Drosophila melanogaster: one gene and its partners. The protein of the gene in region 3 interacts with the protein of the main gene of each other region in a pairwise test. Each region holds a gene or a part of one and is shown on either strand. Other genes may lie near its edges.

The links.
Region 1: the proteins of Hr78 (region 3) and Samuel interact in a two-hybrid assay, tested with the Drosophila melanogaster proteins (one study listed by BioGRID).
Region 2: the proteins of Hr78 (region 3) and wdn interact in a two-hybrid assay, tested with the Drosophila melanogaster proteins (one study listed by BioGRID).

Annotation. Positions count from the first base shown.
Region 1 is NT_033779.5:11,060,989-11,071,129, forward strand, and holds the start of Samuel (SAM-motif ubiquitously expressed punctatedly localized protein), read right to left. Parts: upstream 6,011-10,141; 5' UTR 5,557-6,010; intron 1-5,556. Other genes in the region: CG14915 (uncharacterized protein), read left to right, coding at 10,073-10,141.
Region 2 is NT_033777.3:28,805,551-28,816,179, forward strand, and holds wdn (wings down), read right to left. Parts: upstream 5,788-10,629; 5' UTR 5,536-5,787; coding exon 4,520-5,535; intron 4,460-4,519; coding exon 3,255-4,459; intron 3,144-3,254; coding exon 2,755-3,143; 3' UTR 2,433-2,754; downstream 1-2,432. Other genes in the region: CheB98a (chemosensory protein A 98a), read left to right, coding at 1,176-1,421, 1,483-1,653, 1,707-1,883; Prp39 (pre-mRNA processing factor 39), read left to right, coding at 6,565-6,604, 6,845-6,936, 7,155-8,001, 8,068-8,264, 8,331-8,456, 9,598-9,872, 9,932-10,629. UniProt on the Drosophila melanogaster protein: May belong to a complex set of multifingered proteins which play an important role in gene activation or regulation at early embryonic stages through a maximal accumulation of their transcripts (or protein product) in the mature oocyte.
Region 3 is NT_037436.4:21,488,776-21,499,698, reverse strand, and holds Hr78 (Hormone-receptor-like in 78), read left to right. Parts: upstream 1-2,204; 5' UTR 2,205-2,408; intron 2,409-2,515; exon of another isoform or gene 2,516-2,556; intron 2,557-2,677; exon of another isoform or gene 2,678-2,791; 5' UTR 2,792-2,839; coding exon 2,840-2,879; exon of another isoform or gene 2,880-2,957; coding exon 2,958-3,278; exon of another isoform or gene 3,279-3,306; intron 3,307-3,830; coding exon 3,831-4,100; intron 4,101-4,218; coding exon 4,219-5,393; 3' UTR 5,394-5,680; downstream 5,681-10,923. Other genes in the region: Glg1 (golgi complex-localized glycoprotein 1), read left to right, coding at 1,207-1,484; CG7519 (uncharacterized protein), read right to left, coding at 5,917-6,279, 6,344-6,451, 6,503-6,514; CG7202 (uncharacterized protein), read left to right, coding at 6,993-7,122, 7,512-8,251; Neu2 (Neuroectoderm-expressed 2), read left to right, coding at 9,698-10,846.

The DNA of each region.
Region 1 (10,141 bases), on a different chromosome or scaffold from region 3:
AGCAAAATGTGTTGCAAGTTACTTTGTGTCATTGCTGGTCAAAAATGTCATCAGTTTGGCAGTCCGTCGGTCAGCCATTCAGTCCATCAGTTTGTCAGTCAGTCACCTCCGAGCAATATAGAAGACACAAACAACACACGTGCACACACTTCCAAACGCAGACACTTGCAATTTCTGTTGCGTTTTTGTTGTTGGCTTTTTTGCGCGCATCTAAAAATAAAGCAACACTGAAAATGCTAATGCCAAGCGCCCGACCGAACGACCGACCGATCGACACCGACATCGACCGATGCCCACAGACCTCAAAAACGAACGCCCGTTTGCCCTCACACAGATACACACACGTGCAGGCGTACACACAGATACGCGAGCGATCGGCGACACACACATGCAAACATGTCCCCAAAATGACAGCGACATATTGCGCGCCTCGAGTTCACTTCATTCGAGAGTTTGAACCGATCTGAATATAGTCAGCGTGCCAGGGTGTGAGTGCGAGTGGGGGTATCTGGCGCACATACGTGGATATAGATACTTGTATATACTATATACTGTAGATGCGCGGCACACGCTGTTCGGAATCTTGGCTAAGTCTGTCAATTGCTAGGATATACAGTGCGTACCGGCAACTTAATGCAACTGGAAGATTCACTCATACCGGATGTAGAATTAAGTGAAAATCTTACGGATCTCCATACAATCTAATTATAAAATTATTCTGAAGCAATGAAATATCTGAACATCATTTAAATATGTTTGTATTCATTCTTTTTCCCACTTTTCCTTAGTTGCTGCCATGTCAGTGTATCCGAACTATTGAGTATTAATTGTAGTTTATGTCCTGGACAAATGGCCATAGCTCGCACTGTAGTGGCATACAAAAAGTATTTATCTTTTAGTCATTTTCATTTTTTGTGAACCAAAACTACAACTCAACTCTGTCAGACGACAGACTGACTGCAGAGTCGTTGGCTTTGGGTTTGGGCTTGGTCTTTGGGCTTTGGGCCTTGGGTAGAGGGACCTGAGACTGAGACCTGGGATCTGAGACCAAGTCAGGCCAAGTCAAGTCGATGTCGAGGCGTGTGGGCAGCATCAGCGTGTTGGGTTCAGTTCAGCTTGATATTTTTTTATTTTTTTGCATGTTTTCTTCATTTTTTTTTGCACCAGTTTAGGCGAAGCCTGTCGTCGGCGATGTGAGGCAAAAACATGGCAGCTACAAAATCAAGTGACGAACGAAAACTTTTAAGGCGAAAAGAACTGGCCGAGACGAGGCAAAGATCGTTATGGGGCAACACAAAGGGGTCAGGTCGGTCGGTCGGTCGTGTGGCAACTGTACTCGGAAAAGTGACACCTGCAAAAGGCCGAGTGAATGGAGGTCAAATATAAACGAGGCGGAAGCGGACAACCAAAGTGTTTATCCTCATGACTGACGTGTTGTTTGCGTGCTGCAAGATCGGAAAGTGAAGAAGTGAGGGCTCCAAAATATCCTTATATGCTTGCACCGACATACTGTTTGTCACAGCAAATGGGATACGTGGTTACTTGAAGATACTTCTTATTGAAGATATCTTGTTTATGTGGGTTTTCTACCAAAAGAGGATGGCATTTCTTCAGTGCCATTGCTTTTTATGTAATAAAGTTTAGCAGTACGACCACATCACCAAGAATTCTTCCATTCTAGAGCCCCACTGACCCCCATCACAGCGAACCGTATATTTAAGCAGTTAAACAAGCTCACACCTCACCCACTTATCGTGAGCCATCTTTAAACTCTTGACCTACCAAAGCAAACACGCTCAGATTAACAAAATCCAATCCTCAACCTAAACAAAGCCAAACCTGTAAGCCATTAAGAGATTAAAGAGCCTAGGTATAAATATTTATATTAAAAATCAAAACAAAATCGAAAATTATAGAAATATATGCAGCGATTAACACGTTTCTGCTATAAAACATAAAAGAAGCGAAGAAACTACAACAACATATTTGTAATAAAGTTAAGGAAAAAGTAAATGAACATTAAACGGTTTAGGTTAGGCTCGGATTGGTCAAACCGAATGATAATTTATGCGAATGTAACCAAAAAAAAAAAACTGATAACAACCAAACTACGTCAGACAAAATTGGAGTAAACTAGATTTAGGAAAAAGCACGCACAGACCTGATGCAATATGATGTTCGTCTAGGAAATACTCAGTTTTCTGTGGAATAAAACATGAAGATCGAGACTTTAAGTCAGAATTGGTGGAAATTCTCGAAAATCTTTCTGACCTTTCGGGAAGTCTCAACTTCCGTTTAGACGACGATTTGTGAATGGAATTTGCCAGCTCATTGAAAAGTGTATCGCAAAAAACACGCCGAGGGTGAGAACTGGCTCAGGTATCATCATATAATCAGGCACATAACTGCTTGCCTCACAAACTTCTCTTGTCACTTGATAGAGTACCAGCAAAAAAAAAAAAAATAATAAATAAATTTAAAAAAAATGGAAAGAAAATCCCCAAGCTGGCATCATAAAATATATACAAAAATAAATGCTAATAATAACAAATTCAACAGTTTCCTGCGGCTCACATCACAATTTCGCCGTTTCATGTCATTAGCGGACTCCAAAGTAAATATTTGACGAAGACAAACGAACCTCTGCCGCACAGCAACTTCATCATCATCGCATCACAATAACCCGTTCTACCCGAAATAAGCAGGAAAAATAATAATAATAATAATAAAAATAATGAAGAGCAAGTGACGATCACTTTGAGGGCATTGAGGGCGTTTTTAACTTTTATTTTTCTTTGCTAAAGATCGGTTCCCTCTGCTTTCGTTATGAGATGAGATCGACTGCGGTTTTTTTTTTGTTTTTTTTTTTTTAATTTTTTGCTGACTGTGACATTTTTGTCACATGAACTTGCCGCCACCGCCGCGATCTCAGCAATCCTCGACGAACAGGGGTAACTTGAAGTTAACTTTATGTACTCGCCATTATATTCCGTCAGCGAATTCGCGCTGCGAAGATCATAAGACCATAATTGAACTGATTGGCAGTGTTTTGTTATGGTCCCTGATTTCATTTTTTTTTTTTTACCTTTTTGGTATTTTTTTTTTGACTCCGGGGACTTGTAGTAGGTTTTCATAATTTGATCTTTTGACAGATCAAAGATCGCTGCTTGAACCTAAGGTTAATCACTGACCGCAGCACCGCACAATATGGCTGTTATTTCTGCTTGGATTCGCTATTTGTTTGATTCGAGCCGCCGCATGAAATCATATTTCTCCATAAAGCATCCACTTTGTCTGTCCCAGCTTCCACAGATGATCGAGTGCCGATCTGGGCGCCCACACTCGATCGCATGTGTGCCTGACTATACAAATACATACATATATGTATATACATATGAACAAATACATACATATATATCTTTGCGGCTGTGTTAATGATCGCAAATGTCGTGATTTTAGTCGAGTGGGTTGAGTGAGGTGCTGAACTTTAATTAAACGCGCACCGAAATGTGTTTTTTCACATTCTGAACTTTGAGACATCAACTGCATCCACCGGGCAAATGCATTGCAATCGCTGCGAGATCGGTTAATCAACAGATGGCCTGGCCTTATGCTTCCTATGGGGGTTGTGAGACTAAACGAACCCAAGGAGAACCTTCGAAAATTGACACACAACAAAGATGGAAAAGTATTTTGATTTATTTGAGACAAATGTCATATTTATCGGTTATAATTAAGAAGAGATGTCTTGTATGTTATCAGATTGAACTCTTGAGTTTCGTTAATTAGCTTAAGGTGCAGCATGAGCACGATAATTAATGTTAATAATAAATGTTTTGAGCTCTATTTGTATGAGCATATTAAATCGATTCTAAAAGTAATTAAACAAAAGCGTACTAAAAAAACCTATCAATTAAAAACTTATAGTCTTACCATTTTAATTGAATAAGCTACCTCTAAACTAAGTGAGAAATTGACCAAAGAGGTCTATAAAGAAAACATGCCACAATGAGGCAAACTAACAAAGAAATCAATGAGCCATAGGCCAAGAACAGATGGCCATTACCAGCAATAAACGTTAACTGAATCACAAAGGTTTAGAGCCACTCAAAAATCGAAGAGTTAAATCGAAATGCGAATCGGGAAAAACGGAAAAAGCGAAGCGCCTAAAATAATATTGTAATCAAAAATGCGAAATGCAAATGAAATGCAGGTGGTGTGCACACTTAAACACACAACTGCACTTACAACGACAACTGTAACAATAACGGCCATCGGAGGTATGTACAACAACAAAAAGTGACCAGAGAGTGAAGTGGGTGGCATTTGGGCAGGGCGAGGGGGCGACAAAGGTGAGTTCGCTTATCAGGCCCAAAAGCAAACGCAAAAATGAAAAAATAAAAAACAGCAACAACCACAAACGCCGGATATGAGCGCCACTTAAAAACTGTAAAAACAATGAACAAGCAACAAGTGTTCCAGACGACTACACCGAAAATAAAGCATTTACATTTTCAGGTTTCACATTTAAATTGATAATTGCATTTTATTAACTTTGATAAGTGAACAATTAATAAAATACAGCATTGATCAGGGGTTTGATTTTGTTACTTATTTTCGAATTCGATTGCAATACTATTACGTTTTTTTTTTATAGTTTAATATTTATTTTTATTCTGTGTGACTACTATTCAATTCGATTTTTCGCAGAAACAAATGGATCATCTATTTGTTCCCCGTGCAGACAGACAGACAGGCGAGTACAAACAGACCAGCAAAGAGAGCGTTAAATTTGCACTTACCGTTCCGCAGAGAGTCACAATCGGACAACAACAAAGTCTGCAAGAGGGAACAGGTAGCCGATTCACAGGCAGGCCAATTAATGAACGCGACAAAATGGCAAATAATACTTTGGAAAATGTCCACGGCAAGACCGTAAAAGTCAACTAAAGTACGGGCTGGTCTGACACACATGCTTCACATTCCCTATTACGATGCTTAGGATAGCTTATGATTAATCTTAAAGTTTACAATAACTATTGCGATATGTTCTCACAAAGTTAAGGTCGCTGAAATTTGAATTTTTTGAAGGAAAATAATTCATCTTAATTCAGATTATTAGGACACCAAATTTTGGTATTACCGAATGCTTTTCAAGATAACAGCTATTTTAAAACGTATTTTTTGTTGCAAATACACTTTTGTTTGACTTTTTTAGCAAATAATATAAAGAACATCCCAATCTTTCGAGGCTTCACTGTGCCCACGCGGGGGAGTATCAAACGCACAAAGGGAGAAAGGAGAATGATGAGTACGCGAGCGGGAGCGGGGCAGTGAAGAAGAAGGTGGACCGAAACAGTTACCCACTAATTGCAAGCATGCGTCGCCGCAGCTTTTTGTCACCCGTCGACTGACGACTGTAATTGTAATTGCGCCTGTATTAGAGTTGCGGCTCAATCAAATGTCTCGCTGCGCAGCATTTACAGTTGCTGCGGCGGACATTTGCTGAATCATTTGTTTATAGCCGAATCAGAAATGTGTGTTTGTATTAATTACCGTTTTAAGCTGCCTCCTCTCTGCTTCTTCTCCCCCTGCTGTTGCTTCTTCTTCTTGCTAAGTGGGAATTGGAATTCTTTGCTGTCAAACACTTCAATGAAAACTTTTATGTGGAGCAATTGATAAAGCCGCGCTCACGCACACACTGACACTTTGCTGCCGGAATCTACGCACACACACACACTGGCATTTGTACGTTAAAATTAAGTACAATAATTCACTTGTTGTTGTTGCTGTTGGCTTGGCACTTGTCGACCGTTTTTTGCGGCACGCTTGCAATTAAACAAACAATTTCTCTCCTGCAGTCGCAATAACAATATTCATCGATCGCCGCGTTTTGATTAAATTGTTTGAATTACGTTTTCTATTGCTATTATTATTCTTCGAATGGACCGCAAGCGCGAGAAAGCTTCCGTATCGACCCGCACTCGAGAGCTTCGGAAAAATAACTGTGCAGCAGCAAGCGATCGAAATCGACTTTGGGGCCTATTTTTTCCACACCGGAGCGACAAGTGGCGATTACAGCAACAACAACTGGTTGTATGAATGAATTTCTGGTTTAAGAGAGCGGAAGAGAGTCGAAGAGCGGCGCTCTTTGGATTTCTCTTCAGCTTGCAGCAGGTTATTTTATTTATTTTCTGCTGAGTGATTATTATCATTATGAAGTGATCTGATTTGCTGCTGATATTAAAGCAAGACCGGTCAATAATTACACTGGCCAACACACGCTAATGGCTTTTTGAGTAGTTATTGAAAAAATTGACTCATTATGGTATTACATTTATACTCTTGGGATGCGATGTTTTGAATTTCTGTTATACTAACAGTATGCACAAATCTTAAACTTAAACTATTGTAGTCGAGGAGGGTTCGATTTCTTCGTGTCCTTAAAACTTAGCCGTGTAACCCAGTGTAATTATAGATTTTACTAGATTAATTCCAGCGGAAGACGCCTAAAATGCTTGAAATAATGATATGGTACGTGATTAAAACAAGAGCGAATCGTGTTCCCGATGGGATCATCACAGATCCGCATCCCCATTAGGGCGACAAGATGGAGATATCGTTCAGAAGAGGCACAATGTATGAGGTGATAATTCACTTGTACGTCACCCGCTCGCATTTGCATTCGCCATTCGACTCCACCATTCCCGGTCGACTAACTACGGTTATCCTCAATCAGCTAATTTATTTCCATGGAAAATATCGCCCCCACCTCGAGAAAGACGAACGATTTTCCCTGCCAAGGGGCTCCACCTCCATTCAAATGGGGGAAACCAAACAATTAAGCAAACAAAACGACAGCGACCACGGCTGCAGTCTCCAACTGCAGCTTCAGCTCCAGCTCGAACTTCAGCTCCAACTCGCCAGCTCCGACTTGATAGCCCCTCCAGATAGAAACTGTCAAACAAAACAAACTACACGATAGAAGCCAAACAAAGCGAGGCTTCCAAAGTGTGCTGCGTTTTAGTACCCGGTAATTGCGGGGTATATCATTGTAAAACAATTTAATTTAGAACCCTTCACCATATATAGAACGATATATTTATACTAAAATATTCAACCAAATTTACACTTTGAAAACTCTTAAAACGTTATACAAAATGAACATTACGCATTTTAAGCTTCTCATATACCTTGCTAACTTTCGAGCCCTTAATCGTGCATACTAAAAGGTATCTGGTAGTCTAATTTGCCATTTTACAAGCTTTCTTGTTTATTGTTGCCTTGCCTTTGTCTTTTGTTTTAGCCTGGCAAATGGTAGGCTAAGTACAAGGAAAGGCGTCAATGACGACCAACGAAGACGACTGACGTCGACCTTCGGCAACTACGCTATCAAAAAGGAAGTTCAAATGAGAAAAAAAAGAGTTAAGAAGAGAACACTAAAAATTGAGGCCCCAAGAAAAGGACAGGGAGATGCATCGAATATAAATTAACTGCCATGAACGAGGTAATGGAGCAACAATAACAAGACTACCAGTGGCAGCAGAGAGAGAAAAAGGATATACGGCAAAAGTGTAGCTTATCTATTAAACCAAAAATATATTAATATGCAACGCTTAAATATTATTATAATGTTAAAAATTAACTTGTTTTCATACATATTTATGATGTTTTATATATGTTGTTTAACTATTAAGCCTATACTTTCCAGTAGTTTTTCAATGAAATACTCTTATTTTCTAAACAAGATAATTAGTTTTCCGAGTGCATCGAAGAGAAAAGCAACAATGAAGGCTCCACAAAAAGCCAGAAAGCAAAACGACGACGCGCCGATGCTAGTGGGCGTGTACCGCTCCCCATCCGCCCACAGCTGCCGCTCCTCCTCCTCCTCCTCCTTCCTCCTTCCTCTCCACCACTGTGCCCGTGTGCAAGCCAAGTGCAATCTATGGCAGCGATCGGCCAAGTACAAATGGTTAGGAGATGCAACAGTAACAGCGAAAACAGCAACAGCCACAATGGCTGGCGAGGTCAAACAGCAATCAATAAAGGTCAGCGACTACCGCCGGGGCACGCCTGAGTGCCTACCGTCAATGCCGCTTTGCTGGATTGCTGGATTGTCGGATTGCTGGATTGCCCGATGGCCAGATGATCGGCAGAAGGGGTGGGCTCGAGGTGCAGAACCAGCTCCCAGCCCACACCCAATTCTCCCTCTCCTTCCCCCCTTTCGCAGTCACTTGCCCATTCATGCGGCCCACGATGAAGATGCTTTATGTTGCAAATTGAAAGCTGGACATCCAATCGACTGAAGAAGAACAAGACGAACACGGCGGAGAAGAAGAATAAGAGTAGACGTGGAGGCAGTGCCATGGGCAGTGGCAGCAGGAAGGTGGGAAAGAGAAGGCTGGCCGACAAATGTAGACAGTTGCGACTGCGCAGCCGCAGCAGCAGAAGCTCAATTCGCTGAGGTTGCTGAAGAAGCTGCGTCAGAAGCCCAGAAAGGTGGGAGCGAGAAGGAGCTAAGCTGAGGAGAGGGAGAAGATCGCTTAACCCTTTATGGCCTATGATAGTATGATTGGCTGACTTTATATTAGGAAGTACATTTTATGAAAATTATGTTCTTCCGTTGAATATCTAAGAGGTGATGCTATTATTAGCAAATGATACTAAAATTTGAGCTAAAACATATTTTTAGATATTTTTAAACGTTTGAAACCTCTTTAAATATTAAACAAATATCTTTACAAGTTCTTGGCTTAAAATAGAATAACGATATTATAGAGAAATTAATTGCGCAAGTTATTTGTTTTTTCTAACAGCCCACCAGCAGGATTCCCTTGGGCAACATTGGGTTAATTAGCTAAATGGCGGATGTCGATGACTGTGGCATTAGGCGTATGTTTCTTGGCTATTCCTTGGCTGCACTGTCGGCCAACACCGACCGGCCAACTGAGCGACCAGCGACCCTGTCCCGCCCCCGCAGCTGTTGCTTCCGAGGTTGCACAGCTCCCGGTTCCAAAGCCGCGGCTAAAACCATCGGTGATGATGATGACGATGATGATGATGATGATGAGGATGCTACCAAGTGGCCTCTGCCTTTTTGAATGCATCTTGTGGCGGCTGCTATCTGCCTGGCCATGGCATCCACAAGATATTTTTAATGGCCCAGCTTCCTTTTTGCAGATGCTCTGCTACTTTGCTTCTGCCGTTTTTTTTTTGTTGGTCCGATTTTTGTGAATGAAGTTGTTTTAGATACACACACACACTCATACTCCACTCCGCTGGCAGAGAAGTAGCACCATTATCGCACTGACATGTCTGCTGGATGTCGCTGCTGCCCACCACCCCCTTTTTGCGCCCGCCAGCCCACCGGCAGCCGCCCACTTGGCGGTGTGTGTCACCTGTTGATGGATTTCGTTGTTTGATTAACATGAAATGGCATCGCATCCAATCCCAGCCGATCTTGATGCCTTGAGTGGAGTAGAGTGGATTGGAGTGGATTGGATTGGAGTTGAGACGCCGACTCTAAGTGACTTCGTCCCAGTTGGATCGCCTGGCGGATAGTTAGCCAAATGTCGGAGATTGATGAGGTGGATGGGTTAAGTGATGGCCCCGAGTGGAATGGCCAAGGAAATTGTGGCTTTTGATGGATTTCAATGTACTTACTCCTTGGAAGCGTTTATCTAAATAGCCCGCAACCTTTGCGGCCAATGATATGATATTCATTCCAAAGAAAAACGGGTTAACATTTTTAAGCTTGTTCGCTAGTTGGTACGATTTGTAACCAACAAACATGTTTAACTTATTTTAATAACTTACATGTTATATATTTAAATATATTTTTAAGTAGTAGACAAAACGAGCAATTTAAAGATGTAAAATCGCAGACTCCGATTTGTAGACATTTGTTGACAATAAAAGTAGGTAAAACCAGGTACGACAAACACATGGCATAATTATAAATTACTTAAAGGGTACGCCTTTTAGGACTACCTGTGACGTATCTTTGCCACTATAAATTCCTACGCGCCGAACGCCATTAGTACATTCAATACCAAACTGCCAAGCAGTCAAGATGTCGAGCTCTAAACTTGCCCTTCTTATTCTGGTCATTGCCTGTTTGGTCCTTATCGCATGGGCACGA
Region 2 (10,629 bases), on a different chromosome or scaffold from region 3:
GCTTTTCGCGAATCCCCCTCCCACCATTACAAAGTCGGGTGTTTTATACCCTTTTATTATTATTATGCTGTCATTCCCGTTGTTGCGACATTGTCAGCAATCGTGGCACTGTGTGTTACCCTTTTGCGGGTACGTGGAATATGGATATTATGTAATCGGGAGCAGGCACACCGCCGGCTCAGTCGACATTGAAAGGGTCTTGGTTTCCCTTAGTTTAAAGAAACCGTTTTATGTGTCATCATATGTTGAGATTGAAATCAAAACGCTTTACTACTCCCAAAACTGGTCATAACTGGAGACGAAATTCAATGTGTGAACTTCACTTCGAATAACCAAATCGATTTCGAAATTTGCTCCATTTGGCATTCCGTTCAATATGCCTCATAATGCCAACGATGCCCATATATCAAATGGTAATCGACGATGTCTTGGCAGGTTCGAGAGTGCCATAAATTTGGAGTCCACAAGATCTTGAAAGCACAGTGTTAGCAGTTTGGGTGAAACAGGATTTAAAAATAAGTTATTCGTTGTGCATCTGTAGTACACTTCAGCAGATTGGGATTAAAAAACGTATTAAATTCCCCAACTAAAACCAAGTGTCTAACCCATAAAACAAAAACGAAGACTTACCCCTTTTTAGGTGCAGCAGTGGAATGAAATGCAATCCCACCCCTAACTGAAGCCTAAAAGGCAAATCGTTTAAACTCCCTGTTTGTCTGCTGACTTTGATATACAGCCTTTTGAGTGTCGCTCAAAGTAATAGGAAAAAAAGGAAGTGGAGTATGTGGAACAAACCCTAGGGCAATGCAAAATGCATTTTATTCGGTCTGACAGTTTTTGCTCTTGCAATTTCTTCAGGATAGTAGCAGAATCAATTTAGGAAATAGATTTAACTAAAATAAAGCATTTGGTATTCTTAGATCCTAATTCATTATTCATTAGAATTATAACTTGGTAACCATAAAAAATTAGATTGTTGAAATAATTAATAATACGATTTTAAGTAGACAATTAAAACTAAGCACCATGTGAGATTATAAGTGTACACACGATAACTGTGTCAGCTGGAGGGTAATTATTATTATTAAAATTCCAATGGCGTGCTTTTAAAAAATATATATTGGACATAACACCAGCGACCTTTTTAAAAAGTTTTAGTTGTGCACGGATTTATAATGGATGCGAAAATAATTATTCTTGCGCTGGTCTCCCTATTCTACAAGGCAAATGGCGCCTTTTACGAACTCTCTGTGGCCGATGAAGAAATATTTAGCAGCTGTCCCAATCCTGAGCCAGGCACCCTCGACATCCATGGACTCTTTGATTTTTCAGAGTTCTCCACTTCCTTGGAGGCGGATGGACTGACTGTAAGCGGGAATCAGACTTTGGTGTGGGACATCCAACGCGGGGATCGCGTACAGGTGATTAAGTCCTAAGTGCGAATCCGTCCATAAAATCAAGAACAGCCCAATTATTCCGCAGCTGTTCATTAAGCTTTTCTACTTTGATCGGGGCACGTGGACGTCGACTGCTTTCTCTATACTTTCCCAGGATTTCTGTAAAACCATGTATGATAAAAGTAATGTACTCTATGAGCCATGGACAGGACATGTTATGAACGATGTGAAGGATCAATGTATAAATGCTCCAGGGGTAGGATTCGCTATATCGCCATATACAGCTGATCTCAAACCATTTCATTTCAGACGAAGCTCATTCTGGATACCTATTTCCTCAGTTTGTCCGCCTCAGTTACCGTCCCACTTCGTGAAGGACGCTACAAGACCACCATTAAATTTCGAGCGTTCGACTCTAAGGGAACTGAGAGACCCACCAGCATTTGTTGCGAAGTAATAGGAGATGTTTTTAAGATTAGGAACTAACGTGTAGCTGATGGTTTCATACACATTTCAACAACTGATGGAAGTAACGTTAATAAATTAAATAAAACAACGTACAACAAGGTGGCTTCAAGTATTAAAGCTTTTGGGGTTGCCCTGATAGGATTCATTTAGATTAGAACTACGATCAGATTGAGTACGTATATATATTAGAAACGTGGAGGTTAATTACTACAATCAAAACATACAGTGCTCGGTACGGGGAGTTCATATTCGTTTTAACAATACTTACAATCCAGGCTTTGCTCACCATTTTGAGCCACCCAAACCAATTCGTGATTGCGATTGAGTAGGTATTCAGCCCTTGTGAGTATCTCTTCGGAACAGATAACTTAAGTCTTTTATACCTGGCTTATCCCACATCTTCTCCAGCTACTTTTAAAACTCTTCTACTTGGACAGTGAATGATCTTCTTAGATAGATGGTAAACCTAAGCCCATTTGCATCGAATTACAGCGCGACCTATTTAAATTACGCCCTTTGCAAAGAAGGGAACGGTTCCAATTTGCAAGAAATGATGGGATGTTTACTAAAATATGTACGAAATTTATTATTGGTGTGAAGCGTACAAATTAAAGATCTATCATTATGTATCTATATATAATCGTTTATATGTACACTCAATTACACTTACGGGCTATGCAGAAATCAGCTTACGTCAATTACTTAAACAAATGTAGCGTCATACTCTTAATTACCTACGGGAAACAATTCCGTATTCTTTTAATCGATTGCCATCGGTCCGCGACCGCCCAATTGCGCTGGTGCAACATGGTCGACACTGCTAACTTAACTAAGACACAGGAGATCGTTGAGGCGTTGATGTTGGCAGGCAGCAGATTCCGCCGCCCGATCATGTCAGATGCGGCGTGGCCGCAGTCGCCGATTTCCCCGCAAAGAATCGACTTCCGCCTGTCTGGTTGGTGAAGAGTAGCGTGTCAACTGAGGGCAGCATCTGATTGGATCTCACCAGAAGAGGCACATTCACCATGGACACAGAGGGTGTCTGGGCCAAGCTCGTGGTCACAGACTGAACACCATTGCCCGTACTACTAAGCTTTCCGTGTGCATTCAGCGTAAAGGCGGGTAGATAGTAGTTCCCAGATCGCACTGGTAGAGCATTCGTCGATATGGCGACACTGGAGGCGCATGAGACAGCGGTCAGCTCCATGGAGGCGGGTGACGAAAACGGCGAGGACTCCAGTGAGGGGCAAGGTAGTCGGTCGCTGGGCTTACAAGGCACTACAAATATAAAATTTTAAATTAATATAAAGTTTTTAAAAGGAATACTATTTTATACGAATAACTAGGTAAATCAATTCATAAAACAGGACATTTTCATTAGAAACTTACAGAAGTCATCGTCTGGCAACAGCTCGTCCGGTAATTCATTCTTTATCTGGAAGTGCAGGGCAGCGGCCGAATCGGAAATGGCGTTGTCCGACGTCCCCATTTCAGTGTTTGCATTAGGAGCATCGTACAGACCGCACTCCTCCATCTCCAGGGCCTGCTCCATGATCAGCTCTTCGGCTGAAGTCAGACTAAGACCGTGTAAGTCAAGGAACGGACCCTGAGTCTGCACTGGCTCCTTCTTGATTTGCGGCACAGCAGGAATGGGCTCTAAGCTGGACTGCTGGGGTTGGCCCTGTTGCAGCAGCTGCGGTTTTTGCTGCAGTTGCTTCGGTGCTAGCTGCTTTCGTTCTCGCTTGGCTTTGGTCTGCTTAGGAGCCGGCGGGGCCAGCGGCACCAGCACAGTGGTAAGTTCCTGCTGATGCTGTTGCGCCAGCGGCACAGGATGCACTTGCTGCAGAGCAGTACCGGCAGGTAGAGTTATTCCCAATGCAGCAAGAGTGGCCTGCTGCGGCTGCTTCTTTTTCCGCGCTTGTTTTGCAGGAGCCGGTGCAGCAGTAGACGTAAGATTAGCCTTGGCTTTAAGTTCACTAGAAGCGGAGAGTTCGTTGGGATTCACAGCTGAAGATGCTGCCGCCGCTGCTGCTGCTGCCGCGGCTGCCTTTTGGGCCTTGTTTGTAGTGGACTTTTTAGAGCAGTAGGAGGGAATGTTCTCGAGGTGTTCGCCCGTTTTGTGGTCCACCTTGTGTCGGCGTCTCGTGTGCTTCAACCAATTGGGGAAGTTGGTGAAGTCTCGCGGACAATAATTGCATTTGAACGGGCGCATTCCTGTGTGTATGTTGGAGTGCTGCTTAAGCTTCGAATTGCTGATGAAGCTCTTGTCGCACACTGTGCACGCGAATGGTCGCTGCTCAAGATGCACCAAGTTGTGGACCTTGAGACAGCGCTCCGTTTTGTACATCTTGCCGCACTTTTCGCAACGATAGGAACGCGTTTGCGCATGGTACTTCTGGTGGCGCTGCAGATGTGAGCGCTCCTGGAATCGCTTCTGACACTCGGGACACTCGTACGGCTTCTCCGATGAGTGAATCCGTGCGTGGTGCGTGAGGTTTATTTTTTGCACAAACTTTTGGCCGCAGATGTCGCACTGGTACTTCTTGTTATCGCTGTGAATCTTCCGATGCATCCACATGCTTCCCAATTTGAGGCTAAAGTTAGAGTAAAATGGTCAATAGGAATAACTATTTTTAGTTTGCAGTAACACTTACCACTTGCCGCAGTCAGGACACTTCTTCCAGGTGTCCTTGCGGCCCTCGGTGCGGTGCGTCTTTAGGTGCTTCTTCAAACCAGCCAACAACTCGAATTCCCGCTGGCACTCGCTGCAACGATAGGTGAGCCTCAGCCTGTGAGCGGCCGCCTCATGCTTGGCCACCTCATCGGGCGTCTCCAGCAGCAGTCCGTTGCAGTCGAGACACTTGTGTAGAGGTGCCGGGTCCACCTCCAACGGCTTCGTTTCCGAAGCAGCCGGAGGCGGCATGCTAGCCGCATCCGCCACCGATTCAGCCGATTTGGCCTGCTGGAATATGGTAAACGATGGCGGCAGCAGCTCAGACTCGCACACCTCTACCTTGGTGACCACTTGCTCCGGCGGATGCTTCTCCTCGGGCGGCTCCTCCTTAAAGACCTTCAGACGCACCGCCGTCGCCGCCGGCAGCTTTGGCTTGCGTTGCAGCAGCTGAGACTGGGGCATTTGGAGCTGATGCTGCTGGTGGAGCTGCTCGGGCGATAGCTTTACGGGTGTGGAGGTGCCGCTGGACGAAGTCTTCTTAAACGGGGAATTAGTGAAAGCATTCGGGGGCTCGGGCCGCAGGAAAGTCACACTAAACTCCGAGCTGGAGTGGTTATCACTGGTCAGAGTGCTGGGCACGGTTGACGAGCTGGTGGCAGCCAAGTCATCGCGGCAGACGTCCGAGGATAGATTCAGCTCGGTGTTGTTCTGGGCACTCTCGTCCAAAACGCGCCAAAAGTCGGTGGAGGAGAGACTGTTACCATTGACCAGGCTGGCGGAGCTGATGGTCACGCACGCCGACAGATCGATGTCCAGCGACTCGTCCTTGATGCTCGATATCGAGTCGAAGTTGTTGATCCGCAGCAGAGAGCTGAGTATCTCGTCGTGGGCCGCCTTCGTGGGGGTGCCCGCATCGCCGCCGTAGATTTTAGGCGGCAACTTCTTGCTTGGCGCCTCCTCTTTCATTCTCTTGCCCTCGCCCTTGCCGCCTTCCATTCGCCTTGCCTTGCTTACACGTACAGGTTATGCGGTCGGCGTTTTCGCTCGCCGTATTTTGTCTTTGTTCGCCGCGCCGCTGACGCTTTGCGTTCACTGGTCGCCGTTGCCCGGTCACTGGGTCCCCAATTCACTCATCGCGATCGCTTTCGTTGTATTAAACGCGCCGCAATTGATCGAAAAACATTTAATTATTGTGAAATGCGCCTTGGCTTTGTTGTTTTTGTCACGCTTACAATTCTCGAGTCGCCATTTTGAGAACAGTGTTAGAAGACGCGCACGAGTGGCAGTCCCGCTAAGAGTGATGCTCGCCAGGCGGGTTATTAGCTATATTTAATTCACGACTGGATTCACCATTCTAAATAACATTTAAAGAGATTTCTTGACTCAAAAAGAAATCTTGTCCGACAAGGAAACATTTTACTTACCAATTCCATTTACATGTTTGTATTTACTTGATATAATTCACGATTATGTTGTATAGAAACTATAACAATTTTTTGGGCTTTTAAAATCCTATGCATTGAACATTCAAACCCTAAATATTAAAGGAAGTAGGCCCAATGATTGTGTTATTTGTTTATGTTTTTTATGTTAACTTAATAACCCACTAATTTATAATATGTGTAACATTAAACAAATTTTATCTTCTTTCATTAAGAATTATTTATGGTGATATTTAAAGTCCTCTTACCATAAAATATTTAAATTATATTTCTAGCTGGAACATGTAATTTCTGCTAGAATTTGTATGTTGAGATAGGTTCTGCATGCGCACGCCAAAAAATGAACTAGTTCGCCGAACTGGAAAAACACTGAGCACTTAGGCTATTTTCGTTATTAAATTATATTTTTTGATAGATTGTATATAATTCATTCATCAATGCTAAAAAATGATAAATATCGAAATTCGAAAAACCTCTGAAAAATATTCAAAATATAGCTATGAGTCAGTCGTCAGTCTTGACCAAACAAAGAGATATCGATATTGGCGGGACATGTATATCGATACCACGTTGCAATGTTAATATGGCGTCAGAGGGCGAAAACGTTGTTATGGAAAGTCCAGGTAAATTGATGAAAAATTACAAATACGTGCATTCCTTCGACCGGACCTAGTGACCGTTGATTAAAAATTCAGTCCTTACTAGCCCATTTCGGTAGCTGACACTGACAGTTAGCTGGAGCAGCCCATTAAAGCATTTGGAAAAAAGTGAACATCACGAGGCAGCGAACAACCCACAACACCGCGCGTACAGTTTATGTAAACCGCATGGATTAACCAAGAAAGTTAATTGACGTTTTCCAGGTCGCCGCACACGTTCTGGTCGGAAGGCCGCATCCCCGGCTGCATCGCTGCCAACCAGAAGCACCCGGCGCACATCCAAGCGGAACGTACAGGTCAGTTCATCCCACGTAGTTACCGCCTCTTCCAGATCATCAGCCAATGATGTAAACGATTGCAATTTCCAGTGTGGGTGTGGCGTTGTTCCATCCGCACATGATTCTTCTCCCTGGAGGAGCGAGTGATTACCTGCAAGGGCCAACTGAAGGCACAGCATCCACAAATGCTCTGAGAAATGCCGGGAACCTTCATTAACGACTTTTAATCCTTTCAGCTAAGTGACCACGAAGAGGAGGCCGAAGAGCAAGTGGTCATGGTTCAGGAAGAGGAGGAGCCCTTTAGAGGGACAAACACTGCGGAGGCACCTGCTTTGGAGCCCCAATTCGAGGAGACTCAGCACCAGATAGAGGATGACGTGGAAATGCTGCCAGCCGAAGCTGCTGGGGTTGATGAAAAGAGCTCTTCCTTCCCGTTTGGCACGGTGGCGGAGCTGCATTCAGAGACTAGTGATGATATTAAAGAGACACGCGGTCAGGCTGGCGTGGACACCCTACTGGCTTCTTTAGCCGGCGATAATGCCAACAGCCTGCCCTCCGTGGGTGGAAATGACGAGAGTGACAATGTCAAGAAGGCGGACTTTGAGTACAATGTAGACTCCCTGCAGCCGCAGATGGAGAAAATGAATTCCTCTGAGGACTCCAGCTCACAACATGCCATTGCCGAGGATCTGGCCGATGCGGACACCAGCAATGCAACCATTGTCAACACAGAGATAGTCTCCGAGGATGAGCTACCTCTGCCCAGCAAGCCTGAAATAAATGATGCCGAGGAAGTTTCCGATGAAGAGCTTCCAGCACCGCAGCGGGCTGAATTGCCAGAGGATGCTGAAGTAATCTCGGAGGATGAACTGCCCGCCAGTAATAACAATAACACCGCCACTGAGCCCAAGGCACCTTTGAAGCGCAAGGCGGAAAACGAAAGCGTTAAGAGCACCGAAGATAAGGATGCAAGCAGTCATGAATCAAGCACAAAGGATAAATCCTCCGAGCAATATAATCCGGGCAGTCCCACATCTGAGAGCAACGACGCACAGCCCTCAGAGAAAAAACTCAAGGTCGAAGGTAATTGTTAATCTTCCAATGACTAATTAGTTGGTAGAGCTTGACTCACAATATTTAAACCCACAGAATCGGAGCCCAAGGAGAAAAAGAAGGAAAAGGAGCGCGATAAAGATAAGGAGAAGGATAAGGACAAAGATAATAATAAGGATAAGGAAAAGGAGCGAAAGAAGCTGCCGGACCTAGATAAGTACTGGAGAGCTGTCAAAGAAGACTCCACCGACTTCACCGGCTGGACGTACTTGCTGCAATATGTTGACAATGAGGTGGTTATTTAGCCGAACGCCGCATATCTTGAACTTTAAATAAGCAATTTTCTTCTTTCTCAACAGTCTGATGCGGAGGCGGCGCGCGAGGCCTACGACACATTCCTGTCCCACTATCCTTACTGCTACGGATATTGGCGCAAGTATGCCGACTACGAGAAGCGCAAGGGCATCAAGGCAAACTGCTATAAGGTGAGTACCCCACTTACATTTGGTCGTGCAAATAAATATCTTTCGCAATTTCTTGTACTACGCTTACAATTACGATTACAATTGATATTCATATATTTGTTGTTAAATGCAATTTATTATGACCTAATAAAAATACTACATTCAATAAATGCAACATCTACCAAAATACACCAAATTGAGAAGACAAAACCAAACTTGCCATGAGACTAGTGCAGCATCCACTTAGGATCGTGTTTTCTCATAGGGTTCGTGTCTGCTAAATACTTTTTACGGGAGATGAATCTAAAAAGGGTACGGATTTAATTTTTTTAGATGGTGAAAGCTTTATGGGGGAGCTTGGCAATTTGTTTCAAAGGCTAAGCTAAGTAAATGGACTTAATGGGTCGCGTATAGAGATTGCCTCCAAATTTGTTTACGTTTCTTTAAAGTAGTTTCTGTTTTGTAACCTTAGTTACACCAAATTCATAATTTCGAGACCGGACGTCGACCTTATTTACCACTCCGTACTCCCTACACCTTAGCACTTTTTTTTTGGCGATCTTAGCCCCTGAGATATTGTCCTTAATCTTCACGACACTAATTGGACCGTTTAAGCATAAGCCACTCCTGTGTCGCACAAATCACGCTGTAACTCAGCACAGACTAGCTCAACTCTGTTGACCCTCGAACCCCAGACCGACCTGAACCCGAAAGCGACTGGTTCGTCTACTCGAAGTACGATCCGTCTACTTTCTGATCTTCGTACGTTTGTATCACCAGTTACCTCTTCAGTTACGTTACCTCCATCCTTCTTCAACACGATATAAATAGTGAGATCGCATCTCGTACAGTCGTAAGTACAAATGGCGTTTAAATGAAATTTTTAAGTCTCTTTGTGAATTTTGTTGTAAATCGAGTGCCAAAAAAGAAATCAACTACAACCTGTGTGTTATGTATTCCGTGTACTTGTTAAGTCGCTAAGTTAGCTTTTAAGCCCGAACACCATTCACATCAAAACGATAACCTTAAGTATCTGAGCACTTAACTCTTGAAATCTTACTATAAACCACGAATATATTTTTATATTTCTCTTCTGCGATCAATCAACAATAAATGAAAAAATCAAAACTTGTACCGAACATACGAAATGACCAAATCCTAGGTGTTTGAGCGCGGACTGGAGGCGATTCCGCTGTCCGTGGATCTGTGGATCCACTACCTAATGCACGTTAAGTCCAATCACGGAGATGATGAAACATTCGTCCGCTCCCAGTATGAAAGGGCAGTGAAGGCGTGCGGCCTGGAATTTCGATCGGACAAACTCTGGGATGCCTACATTCGTTGGGAGAACGAGTCAAAGCGGTACCACCGTGTGGTCCAGATCTACGATAGACTTCTGGCCATACCGACACAGGGCTATAATGGTCACTTCGACAAGTGAGTTCCACTCAAATTGGTTTTGTGAAACATGCGAATAATGTACATGCACATTTCAGTTTCCAAGATTTGATCAATCAGCATGATGTAACTATCACACTTGCAAACGAGGAGGTGATCCGTCTGCGCAAAGACTTCCACGAACGTCAGCAGAGCAAGTCCTCCAAGTCCTCGTCGAAGCATCGCCGGGACAGCAGCAGCAGCTCCAAGGACAAAGACTCAAAGGAGCGAGAACGTGAGAAGGACAAGGATAAGGACAAAGACAAGGACAAGGAGAAGCGAGAAACTGTCGGGGGCGGTGTTGGTAAGTCGCCAAAAGATACAAGTGAAACTCAAGTCGATGAATCAGATAGTACTACCGATCTGACCACCGAAAGCGAGTCATCGCATGCAGCTTCAAAGCCGGCAATGCAGATCGATTTCAGTGATCTTAGCACTCTGAATGACGAAGAGGTGGTCAGCATTAGGGACAGGGCTATCTCGGCGCGGCGCAAAGTCCACAAGTTGACCGTTAGCGCAGTGACAGCCCGCTGGTCCTTCGAGGAGGGCATCAAGCGGCCTTATTTCCATGTGAAGCCACTCGAGAGGGCACAGCTCAAGAATTGGAAGGACTACTTGGATTTCGAGATCGAAAAGGGTGATCGCGAGCGAGTCCTGGTTTTGTTCGAAAGGTGCCTAATCGCCTGTGCTTTGTATGACGAGTTCTGGCTGAAGATGCTTCGTTATTTAGAGTCTTTGGAGGATCAGAGCGGAGTTG
Region 3 (10,923 bases):
ATCTATTTTCAAATAATAATAACGTTAAGGCAATGCAAAACAAGAATTTTTCGCATGGTGCCAATTGATCAAAAATAATATAGATTTAAAGCCAAAGAACTTCTAAGGTGAAGGGCATATTTTGTCAAATTTACAATGCATGTGAATTCGTGTGCACACATACAGATGTCTGCTATCACTTTGTGCGTTGAAAAGAGCTGTTCGCTGTAGCGCTCTTCGCTCTCTCGCTCTCTAACAAAAATTCGAGAGAGCCTGGAGCCACCTCTAGAGCCACGGCCAAAAAATCGTGTGCCAAAAAATCGTATGGCGTTACGCATCTTGTTATTCTAGGGTCTTTGACTCAACAATCATTGCCTTATTAATTTTTCACACGCCGCAAGATGAATACTCTAATGACAAATATTCTTATATAAAGTCATTTTTGAAATTTATTTTTGTGATAATATGTACATAGATTTGACTATTTCTAATCTATTTTCAAATAATAATAACGTTAAGGCAATGCAAAACAAGAATTTTTCGCATGGTGCCAATTGATCAAAAATAATATAGATTTAAAGCCAAAGAACTTCTAAGGTGAAGGGCATATTTTGTCAAATTTACAATGCATGAGCATACGTGTGCACACATAAAGTTGTCTGCTATCACTGTATGCGTAGAAAAGAGCGGTTCGCTGTAGCGCTCTTCGCTCTCTCGCTCTCTAACAAAAATTCGAGAGAGCCTGGAGCCACCTCTAGAGCCACGGCCAAAAAATCGTGTGCCAAAAAATCGTATGGCGTTACGCATCTTGTTATTCTAGGGTCTTTGGCCAGGCCATCAGCCAGGGGGGGCAGATAGTAGAATTCCTCTTCCTACACTGGAAACTCTTAGTGAAAGCACCTATCAAACAGCTTATGTATTTGAAGCAGATCGATATAATTGGAGGCAGATTGACTAAGAGAATAAGAACAGTACATAGTGTAAATAAACAACGGGAAGTTACGTGATAGGCAGCAAATTATGAAATTTCTTGAACATTCCTTTTTGGTGCAGGGGGGTGTGTGTGTGTGTGTGTGTGTGTGTGTGTGTGTGTGTGTGTGTGTGTGTGTGTGTGTGTGTGTGTGTGTGTGTGTGTGTGTGTGTGTGTGTGTGTGTGTGTGTGTGTGTGTGTGTGTGGTTGGTGTGGTTATAAATATAATAATTAATGTTTTTCTCTCTATGTTCTAGAACTTAATTGCTTAAGGACGCTGCTGAAGGATACGCCGAACTCGTTAGAGGCGGACTGCCGAGAAAAGCTGCAGCGACGCATAGAGATGTTCAGGAACGCAGACGACACGTTGGCGCTTCCGCCCGAGGATGTGCAGCAGCTAGTGCAACAAGTCGTCGCCTCTCCGGCGCGGAAATTCTTCCTTGTGATACTAATGAGCGCCACGGGCCTGGTCTTCCTCACCGGCATCTTCCTGGGACGGGCCACCAAACGGGCAATGGGCTTAAAGAATAAATAATTGAAATATTAGACTGTAGTGGCACTGTGTAGGCGGAGTGTGCATGTTTGTGAGCTTGCTGATTTCCATTTCGGCCCATCCATGACCCCATTCCGAAACCCAGAAGTATACTTTCACTCAACCCTGTCTGCCTTTCGATATTTGTGTGAGCAATTTGTGGCTTAGTCGTTTGTAAGACCAAAAAATACGCGAGAAAGGAGAACACAATCAAATATACTAGTTCCATTCTTAGGGCTCTTTTCGTTATAGCTTTTTTGTAACAATTTCACTTGTATATTAAATTGTATTTTTGTAAACAAAAGCCCCTTCTTTTTAACTATATCCACATGGAAGGCATCAACAGATGTTTCTCTTTGGATCAATACCAGAGCGCTAATACGGCAGAGCGCCTAGTTTTGAGTACAAAAGTTAAGTAAAAACTTGGGATAGGCTTATCAATTTAATCAAATAGCCAAGGTAACTCAAAGTATAAAATTTAATATTATGTCCTTGTGGGCTTATGAGAATTAAAATTTGTGTTAATTGATTAAGCTTGACTCTAATTTGTACCCTAGACACGCCTTTGTTATTATTGATATTAGTAATTCTATTATTATCCTTTGTTTTACGTTAAAAATTACAATTTCAACGAACTGTAGCTCTACAGGTGTTTTGGTATATTTGCACAATGAGCTGCCTTTTTTTAGTATATGGGACCGGATGGTATGTTGAAAGAGCCCAACTGCGGTCACACTGCTCGCAAGTGAATTGGAACAAGGAGATTTTATTGCGTTAGAAAAGGTTCAAAATAGGCACAAAGTGCCTGAAAATATCGTAACTGACCGGAAGTAACATAACTTTAACCAAGTGCCTCGAAAAATAGATGTTTTTAAAAGCTCAAGAATGGTGATAACAGACGTCCAATAAGAATTTTCAAAGAGCCAAGTAAGCAAGACCAATTCATTCACATCACAGGCACCCACACAGATGCAGCCAAAACAGGTTCTATTAAAATAGCTCTGGCTACGTTAGCTACAGCTGCGTCCAAAATAGTAGCACTTTTGTTGGCAGCAGCAACGGTGTTTTATATTGCGTAAAATTCAATGATTTATTTTTTGAAAACATCAATATAATATATTATAATACATTTATTATTATTATTATTATTATCTACTATATAAATATATTTTGTGATAGAATTAACCACCTCATACCTCTCTTTTCGGCTCGTAATTCCTTTATTCTAGACACACTCCATATTTATCTCTTCTCTACTTTATATTGCAAGTAAAATTTAAATTACATATGTGAAGATGTTTGGGTTTCAGTTATTTATACAGCCGACGACTATTTTTTAGCCGCCTGCTGTGGCGACAATGGACGGCGTTAAGGTTGAGACGTTCATCAAAAGCGAAGGTGAGTCCAATCACCCGAGCCATGCCACCTTGGAGCCCATTCTAACGCGACTGTTGCCATTGCCCTCTGACCTTGCAGAAAACCGAGCGATGCCCTTGATCGGAGGAGGCAGTGCCTCAGGCGGCACTCCTCTGCCAGGAGGCGGCGTGGGAATGGGAGCCGGAGCATCCGCAACGTTGAGCGTGGAGCTGTGTTTGGTGTGCGGGGACCGCGCCTCCGGGCGGCACTACGGAGCCATAAGCTGCGAAGGCTGCAAGGGATTCTTCAAGCGCTCGATCCGGAAGCAGCTGGGCTACCAGTGTCGCGGGGCTATGAACTGCGAGGTCACCAAGCACCACAGGAATCGGTGCCAGTTCTGTCGACTACAGAAGTGCCTGGCCAGCGGCATGCGAAGTGATTGTAATTTTCGTTTAAGTCGTCGTCTCAAGCTATAACCAATCTCTGGCCTGGCCAGAGTCTACGTGCTCCAGCAGGCTTTAGCAGAATTGCATTGTAGAAATTAGGAGATATCATATATGTAGCATTTAACTCTGACAAGTAATGAAACGTTATCGATTCACAGGAACTCAGTTTCCCAGAGCTTAATCAAGAACTGGTTGGATGATCTCCAATTCGAATTGGACTCAAAGATAAATAGTCTAATCTAGAGAAAGTTCAATTTCAATTGAATTCAATTCAATTTTCGTCTGTGAAGTGCATTTTACACCAAGTAATCACGTGAATCTAATTGCATCCCAGTGTTTGCTTCTGTAACGTGAATATCCACTTCAGTAACTTGCACATCTTAAAACTGCAGCGGCGGAGGCACAAAAGATTCCCAGCCTGCACGAACATTAACCAATTCACCCACTTACTCACCATCACCTCGCTTTGAAAATCATCAAACCGCATCCTCACCTCACTTCTCGCTCTAATTAATTGCCTTCCGTTCTCATCAACTTTTGTTCACAGCTGTGCAGCACGAGAGGAAACCGATTGTGGACAGGAAGGAGGGGATCATCGCTGCTGCCGGTAGCTCATCCACTTCTGGCGGCGGTAATGGCTCGTCCACCTACCTATCCGGCAAGTCCGGCTATCAGCAGGGGCGTGGCAAGGGGCACAGTGTAAAGGCCGAATCCGCGGCCACGCCTCCAGTGCACAGCGCGCCAGCAACGGCCTTCAATTTGAATGAGAATATATTCCCGATGGGTTTGAATTTCGCAGAACTAACGCAGACATTGAGTAAGTTGAACTTTGATTTACATTCTGGTTGGTCATATATACTTAACTGCCATGATTGATCCATATTTAACTTCTTTTAAACGAATTCACCATTAATAATCTCCTATTGACTTTGCAGTGTTCGCTACCCAACAGCAGCAGCAACAACAGCAACAGCATCAACAGAGTGGTAGCTATTCGCCAGATATTCCGAAGGCAGATCCCGAGGATGACGAGGACGACTCAATGGACAACAGCAGCACGCTGTGCTTGCAGTTGCTCGCCAACAGCGCCAGCAACAACAACTCGCAGCACCTGAACTTTAATGCTGGGGAAGTACCCACCGCTCTGCCTACCACCTCGACAATGGGGCTTATTCAGAGTTCGCTGGACATGCGGGTCATCCACAAGGGACTGCAGATCCTGCAGCCCATCCAAAACCAACTGGAGCGAAATGGTAATCTGAGTGTGAAGCCCGAGTGCGATTCAGAGGCGGAGGACAGTGGCACCGAGGATGCCGTAGACGCGGAGCTGGAGCACATGGAACTAGACTTTGAGTGCGGTGGGAACCGAAGCGGTGGAAGCGATTTTGCTATCAATGAGGCGGTCTTTGAACAGGATCTTCTCACCGATGTGCAGTGTGCCTTTCATGTGCAACCGCCGACTTTGGTCCACTCGTATTTAAATATTCATTATGTGTGTGAGACGGGCTCGCGAATCATTTTTCTCACCATCCATACCCTTCGAAAGGTTCCAGTTTTCGAACAATTGGAAGCCCATACACAGGTGAAACTCCTGAGAGGAGTGTGGCCAGCATTAATGGCTATAGCTTTGGCGCAGTGTCAGGGTCAGCTTTCGGTGCCCACCATTATCGGGCAGTTTATTCAAAGCACTCGCCAGCTAGCGGATATCGATAAGATCGAACCGTTGAAGATCTCGAAGATGGCAAATCTCACCAGGACCCTGCACGACTTTGTCCAGGAGCTCCAGTCACTGGATGTTACTGATATGGAGTTTGGCTTGCTGCGTCTGATCTTGCTCTTCAATCCAACGCTCTTGCAGCAGCGCAAGGAGCGGTCGTTGCGAGGCTACGTCCGCAGAGTCCAACTCTACGCTCTGTCAAGTTTGAGAAGGCAGGGTGGCATCGGCGGCGGCGAGGAGCGCTTTAATGTTCTGGTGGCTCGCCTTCTTCCGCTCAGCAGCCTGGACGCAGAGGCCATGGAGGAGCTGTTCTTCGCCAACTTGGTGGGGCAGATGCAGATGGATGCTCTTATTCCGTTCATACTGATGACCAGCAACACCAGTGGACTGTAGGCGGAATTGAGAAGAACAGGGCGCAAGCAGATTCGCTAGACTGCCCAAAAGCAAGACTGAAGATGGACCAAGTGCGGGCAATACATGTAGCAACTAGGCAAATCCCATTAATTATATATTTAATATATACAATATATAGTTTAGGATACAATATTCTAACATAAAACCATGGGTTTATTGTTGTTCACAGATAAAATGGAATCGATTTCCCAATAAAAGCGAATATGTTTTTAAACAGAATGTTTGCATCAGAACTTTGAGATGTATACATTAGATTATTACAACACAACTTTGATCAAATGTTAATCTAATTTTTATTAAAGATGTGGATCTCATCCCACAGATTGGCAGAAAGCAGAATACAAAGTCAAGAAATGGCAACGTGTAGGGAACAATTTAAAGGCGGTCGTTATATTTTTATTTTTTGTATAAAAATAATTTGATTGTTTACTAAAGTAGATAGACGAACTGCAGCTAAATATGCATCCAGTCTTTACAACTTAATCTAAGCTAGAGCGAGGGATTACTGTTCCTCTTCGGGTACCTTTCTGGCGGGCTTGTGCTTCTCGTAAGCCTCATCGTTGAGTCCCTCCCGATTCCGGGCAATCTCGATGGCCAGAAACTGGACGCGAAACACGAAGATAGAGTTGTCCGGGGAGAATTCCCTGCTGGCATCGGCGCGCATCAGGGTGCCATACGAGTAATCGTCCAACTTGTTAAACTTCTCGGCGAACTGGCGCCACTTGAGCTTCGCCGTGGCGGATTTGAGAATATCATCGGTAAGCCGGCCAACGTGAAGATCGGGAAAATCCTGCCGGAAAGTGGCGTATATCTGGTCGTCGTAGGGCGTGAGCTTCAGCTGGGAGGGATGGACGCTGGTGATGAGCTGCCGGGAATACGATGAAGCAGTGTCAACTACCATTCCTTAACATCGTTCAAAGTGTACTCACATTAAAGTGCACCTCGGCGTGTTCCAGAGCTTTTGCGGCCCACATTTCCTCCACCAGGGTGTCGTTGCCAAATTCCTCCGCTGGCCGCGACAGCAGCGACGCTCCATGCTAACAAGTCCATTAATCAGAATCGGTTAATTTCTTTTAGCCACTACATACCATCATCTCCATTTTATTTGGACAAGGTTGCTTATTTACTTTAAAAATTATTGAAACGAAAAATCACGTTTCGTACTTTGTTTAGCGCAGTGTGACCAGCCGCAAGTCGGGATGAATAACGTACAATGTCGTACAAATACCGAAGACAATATTGAATTCAAAATTAAATAAATAAATTTAAGTAATTGATATGCATTGTTGTACCAAACAGTCGAAAATTAATTTGGAATAAAATTGTTTCAAATCAAATATCTTAAAACATCAAAAAAAAAAAGAAATTTCTTTAAAATAAATAAGTTGAAATTCTAATAGCTTTTTTAAGATTTCAAGAAATTAAAAAGAAACCGAAAGAAACAGAGTCCTTTTACAATCTTATTCGCTTTGATTTTAGTGTCCGATATTTCTTTATTTTCCACACGAGGCCCGACTTGTTCGAAAGCTGTTTTTATAACTACACACGTTATCAGCACACAACAAAATTTCGGGAATCATGTTCGAATGCATAAGTTTCTTGTTCCTGGCTGCCTTGGCCTTCGTGGCCTGGGCCGTTCTCTGCTTCCAGCACTTCGTCCAGGTCCAGACGCGGCTCTCCTCTGATTTCCGAGTCGAATTATACACAGGTGAGGATGTCCATTGTTGTTTTGAGTTAAGTGAAGAAATGGTGGTTGAATCCAACACTACACTTATGATTTTTTAATCACTCTTAAAAGTGATCCTTTTAAAGCCGGATACATTAGAAGTTAATGTCTATATTATTTTAATCGTTATTTGTGGTATTAAAGGGTATTCGAGATTTGATTTAACATATGAAATAGATATCAGACATTAAGTATATGTATTAATCTTTCTTAAGATCACTTGCCAGTGATCTGGCCATGTCCGTCTTTCCGTCCGACTGAACGTAGATACCTAGAAAAGTTGATGTAATTTGGTGTTCCAAATACTTATCGACCCTTAAAGTTTTTCACAAAGTTGTTATTTACCTTTTGCCTTTTATTCACTTGTACAGAGCGTCCTGGGATTACGTTTGAGCCGCAGCTGTGCCACAGTCCCTCAGAGCAGAGTAGCTCCGACAGCTCCGACAGCACCTACCAGTTTGCGACGAGCTTCGGCGTGATCTTTGCCCTGACCTTTGGTCTGTCCAAGCTGCTCCAACTGGCGGAGCTGCAGGCCAAAAGGTATTTCAAGAGCAAAAAGGCGCTGCATCCCAAATCTGCTGCCAAAGTGCAGGACCCAGTTGTTGAGCAGAAGGCGCCAAGCCAGCAGGACGATTCGAATCCCTTCGATCTCCTGCAGGACCACAATGAAAATCTGAAGGAGCAGCTCAGTATCCTGCAGTTGCAGTGTCTGGAAATGCGCGAACTTCTGCACGAGCTGGATATCAGCAGTAGCTCCAGTAGCTATGGAAGTGTCAGATCCGGAAACCGGGTAGCAATGGCCAAGTCCTCCGAAGAATCAATGGTGGTGTGGAGGCGATCGGACTCCCTGACCGGTACGGTCTCCGGCTCATTGCACGCCGAAAAGGTCAACTCCCCCTCCACACAAAACATCTACATTACCAACAGCCACTTCCACATCAACGGACAGGTCTACCTGACCGAGAACCACGTGAACGTCGAGCTCACCCAGAACGCTTCTTTGTTCGGTCGGGGGCAGAGCGAGTTCCTGCAGGTGGCGGGAAGGTTCATCTCCGGACCAAAGAAGATGCCCATGTTAACGGGCATGCGGTGCCACAACATCCTCATATGAGGAGTCTTCAAAATCATCCATTTCACTCGGAATAAACAATGTTACTAGCAATTCAACGACGTTTATCTTTAGTAGTTGGTAATACAAGGGAAATGGTTCCATAGAAAAAGGGCATCGCATCAAATAAGGCTTGCTCGACTATAGGTTACTTTCTAGTTTTATTATTGTAGTTGATTTAACATAAATGTTTTTAAAAACTTTGGGGTTCGAGTGTTTTAATGTCATCAAGAAAAGGAATTTAAGGAATAATTCTAGCACATTATCTATAAAGGCAATAATCGCTTACTCCTTTTGATTTACAAAGTTATTAATAATGTACATATGTACTTAATTAACACCAGAAATCGATGCCATTTACTTTGTTTTAGTCTTGTATTTAAAATTGAATTATTCGTTTTTTTGTACTGTATGTTTTTTATTGAATAATTTGCTACTAGAATGATTCCGCCATGGGGTATATTGGGAATAGAAGGGTATGGCTAGCTTTATTGGTCATTGGGTAAATGGTTTTCCCCTGTTTTCCACCACCCCAATAAGTATATTTCGTTACAAACACATGGTTTTAGAGTTCAGCAATAATGATTTAGCACTTTGGGGTCGACCAAGGAAAGATTTTTTCTTTAACCATAGTTACTTTTACCTGCATGTATCACATTATGCATTGACCTGCTTGGATCTACAGAAAATCGTAAGATTAGTTGGGACGCACCGTAAAAAGATGAGTGCAGCTGCTGGAAAGCCCTTCTTTGATGACACCTGACCCAGGTAACATTGTTAAATATGCTATGTTGCCCATTTTACAGAACCAAACGACCTTGGGACATGTTTGTATATAAGCCTTACGACTTACCTATTCACTTCAGAAGGAGTACAACCCTTGTCATAGCAACATCTTTACAGATTGCCAATTCCTGTGCTTATTGCCACATTTTAAATACGCATTCGCCGTGAACAAACACGAAAATAAGGTAAGTTTAAGGTAAGGATTGCCATTGTGGGTCAATTCGTGCCGAGTTAGCAAAGTCATAAATAAACCAAGATGTATTTGGAAATTAGTGCAATTTATGTTTAAAGCTCTACACAAGTATTAAATTTCATTGATTATTAAATATAAGAAAGAGTGCAGAGGGTTCTTTTTGATGCTATGCAACTAAAAGATGACGTTTGTCACTGACCTTATAAAGTGTATGTGTCATCCATGACTACGATCTAGTCGTACCTATTCTGTCCGTTTGTTTGAAAGTTGAGATCTCAGTGTATTTAGCATTCAGGATGTAGATTCCAGAAACGCTAATACTCAAAGATCTGGGAATAACCATTATACTTTTTTGAAACCGTTTAAGTGCACGATTTTGTATATTCGCAATTTTATATTCACACAGTTCGTGTCATTTCAGATCGATGGAATCGTCAATATGCCGAGTTTGCCTGGTCAGTTACGAAAATATGGCCAGTGTTTTCGATGAGTCTCATGAACCGGGCCTATCCATTGCGTACATAATATACAAGTGCACCGGCTGGCAAGTTGAGAAGCACGATCCACTGTCCAACACCATATGCAAGTCCTGTCTGGAGGATGCGCAGAATGCATTCGATATCATAGAAACGTACGAGAGAAGTCACCAGTTTTACCGCTTCCTCAAGGATGTACGGGAGGAGGAGAGTGAAAATGATGGATCCGGATGCTCAGAAGAAGTGGAGGCAGCTGAGAGGGATCTCCAGGATGGTGCCGACGACGTCGATTCCGGCAATGAACCTGATATTAACGAATGTGATATCAAGGCCAAGGAGAAACCAGGCTTTAGCTGTTCTCACTGCCCTAAATCTTTTCAAGTAAAATCAAATCTGAAGGTACACATGCGTTCACACACAGGAGAACGTCCCTTCACGTGTTCCCTCTGCCCCAAGTCCTTTGGCTATAGCTCTGGTCTTCAGAATCACATGCGAACCCACACAGGAGAACGACCCTTCCAGTGCTCGCATTGCCCAAGGTCCTTTACAGCTGGGCACCACCTCAAGGCCCACATACAGATGCACGAAAGAAGAGGATCGTTAAGGTGCCCATACTGCCAAAAGTGCTTTCTAACTTCTTTAATTCTCAAGCAGCATTTGGCCACGCACACTGATGAAACGCAGTTCAAGTGTTCCCAGTGCTCGAAGTCCTTTCAAGTCGAACATGAACTTTGGATGCACATGCGAGTGCACCAAGAACGCCTCTTTACTTGTGGCCATTGCTCAAAGGACTTTGCGCTACATGCGTATCTCAAGCGACACCTGTCAAGGAACGCGAGATGCTCTCAAAGCTCAAAAGCATCTGCTCACAAAACACTAGGCCACTCAAAGGCACTTAAGTGTGGTAAGTGCCCAAAAACTTTCACTGACCGTTCGGCTCTGTCCACTCACTTGAAATCACACACCAAAAATAAGCCATTGCTCGAAGGTCCTTGCAAATCTTCAGGATCTAAGCCGGCACATAGTAACGCACAAAGAAAACCGTTTAAGTGTTCCAGCTGCCCAAGGACTTTTTCGCGGAAATCCGCACTGCTAACACACTTGCAAACCCACACAGGAAAACTGGGCACAAATCGCATGTAGAAGAAAGAACCGTTTGAGAAGGCTAAAAGAATTCGATTCTTTTTTTTTTTTTGTTCGCACGGGTCCTACGTCCACAC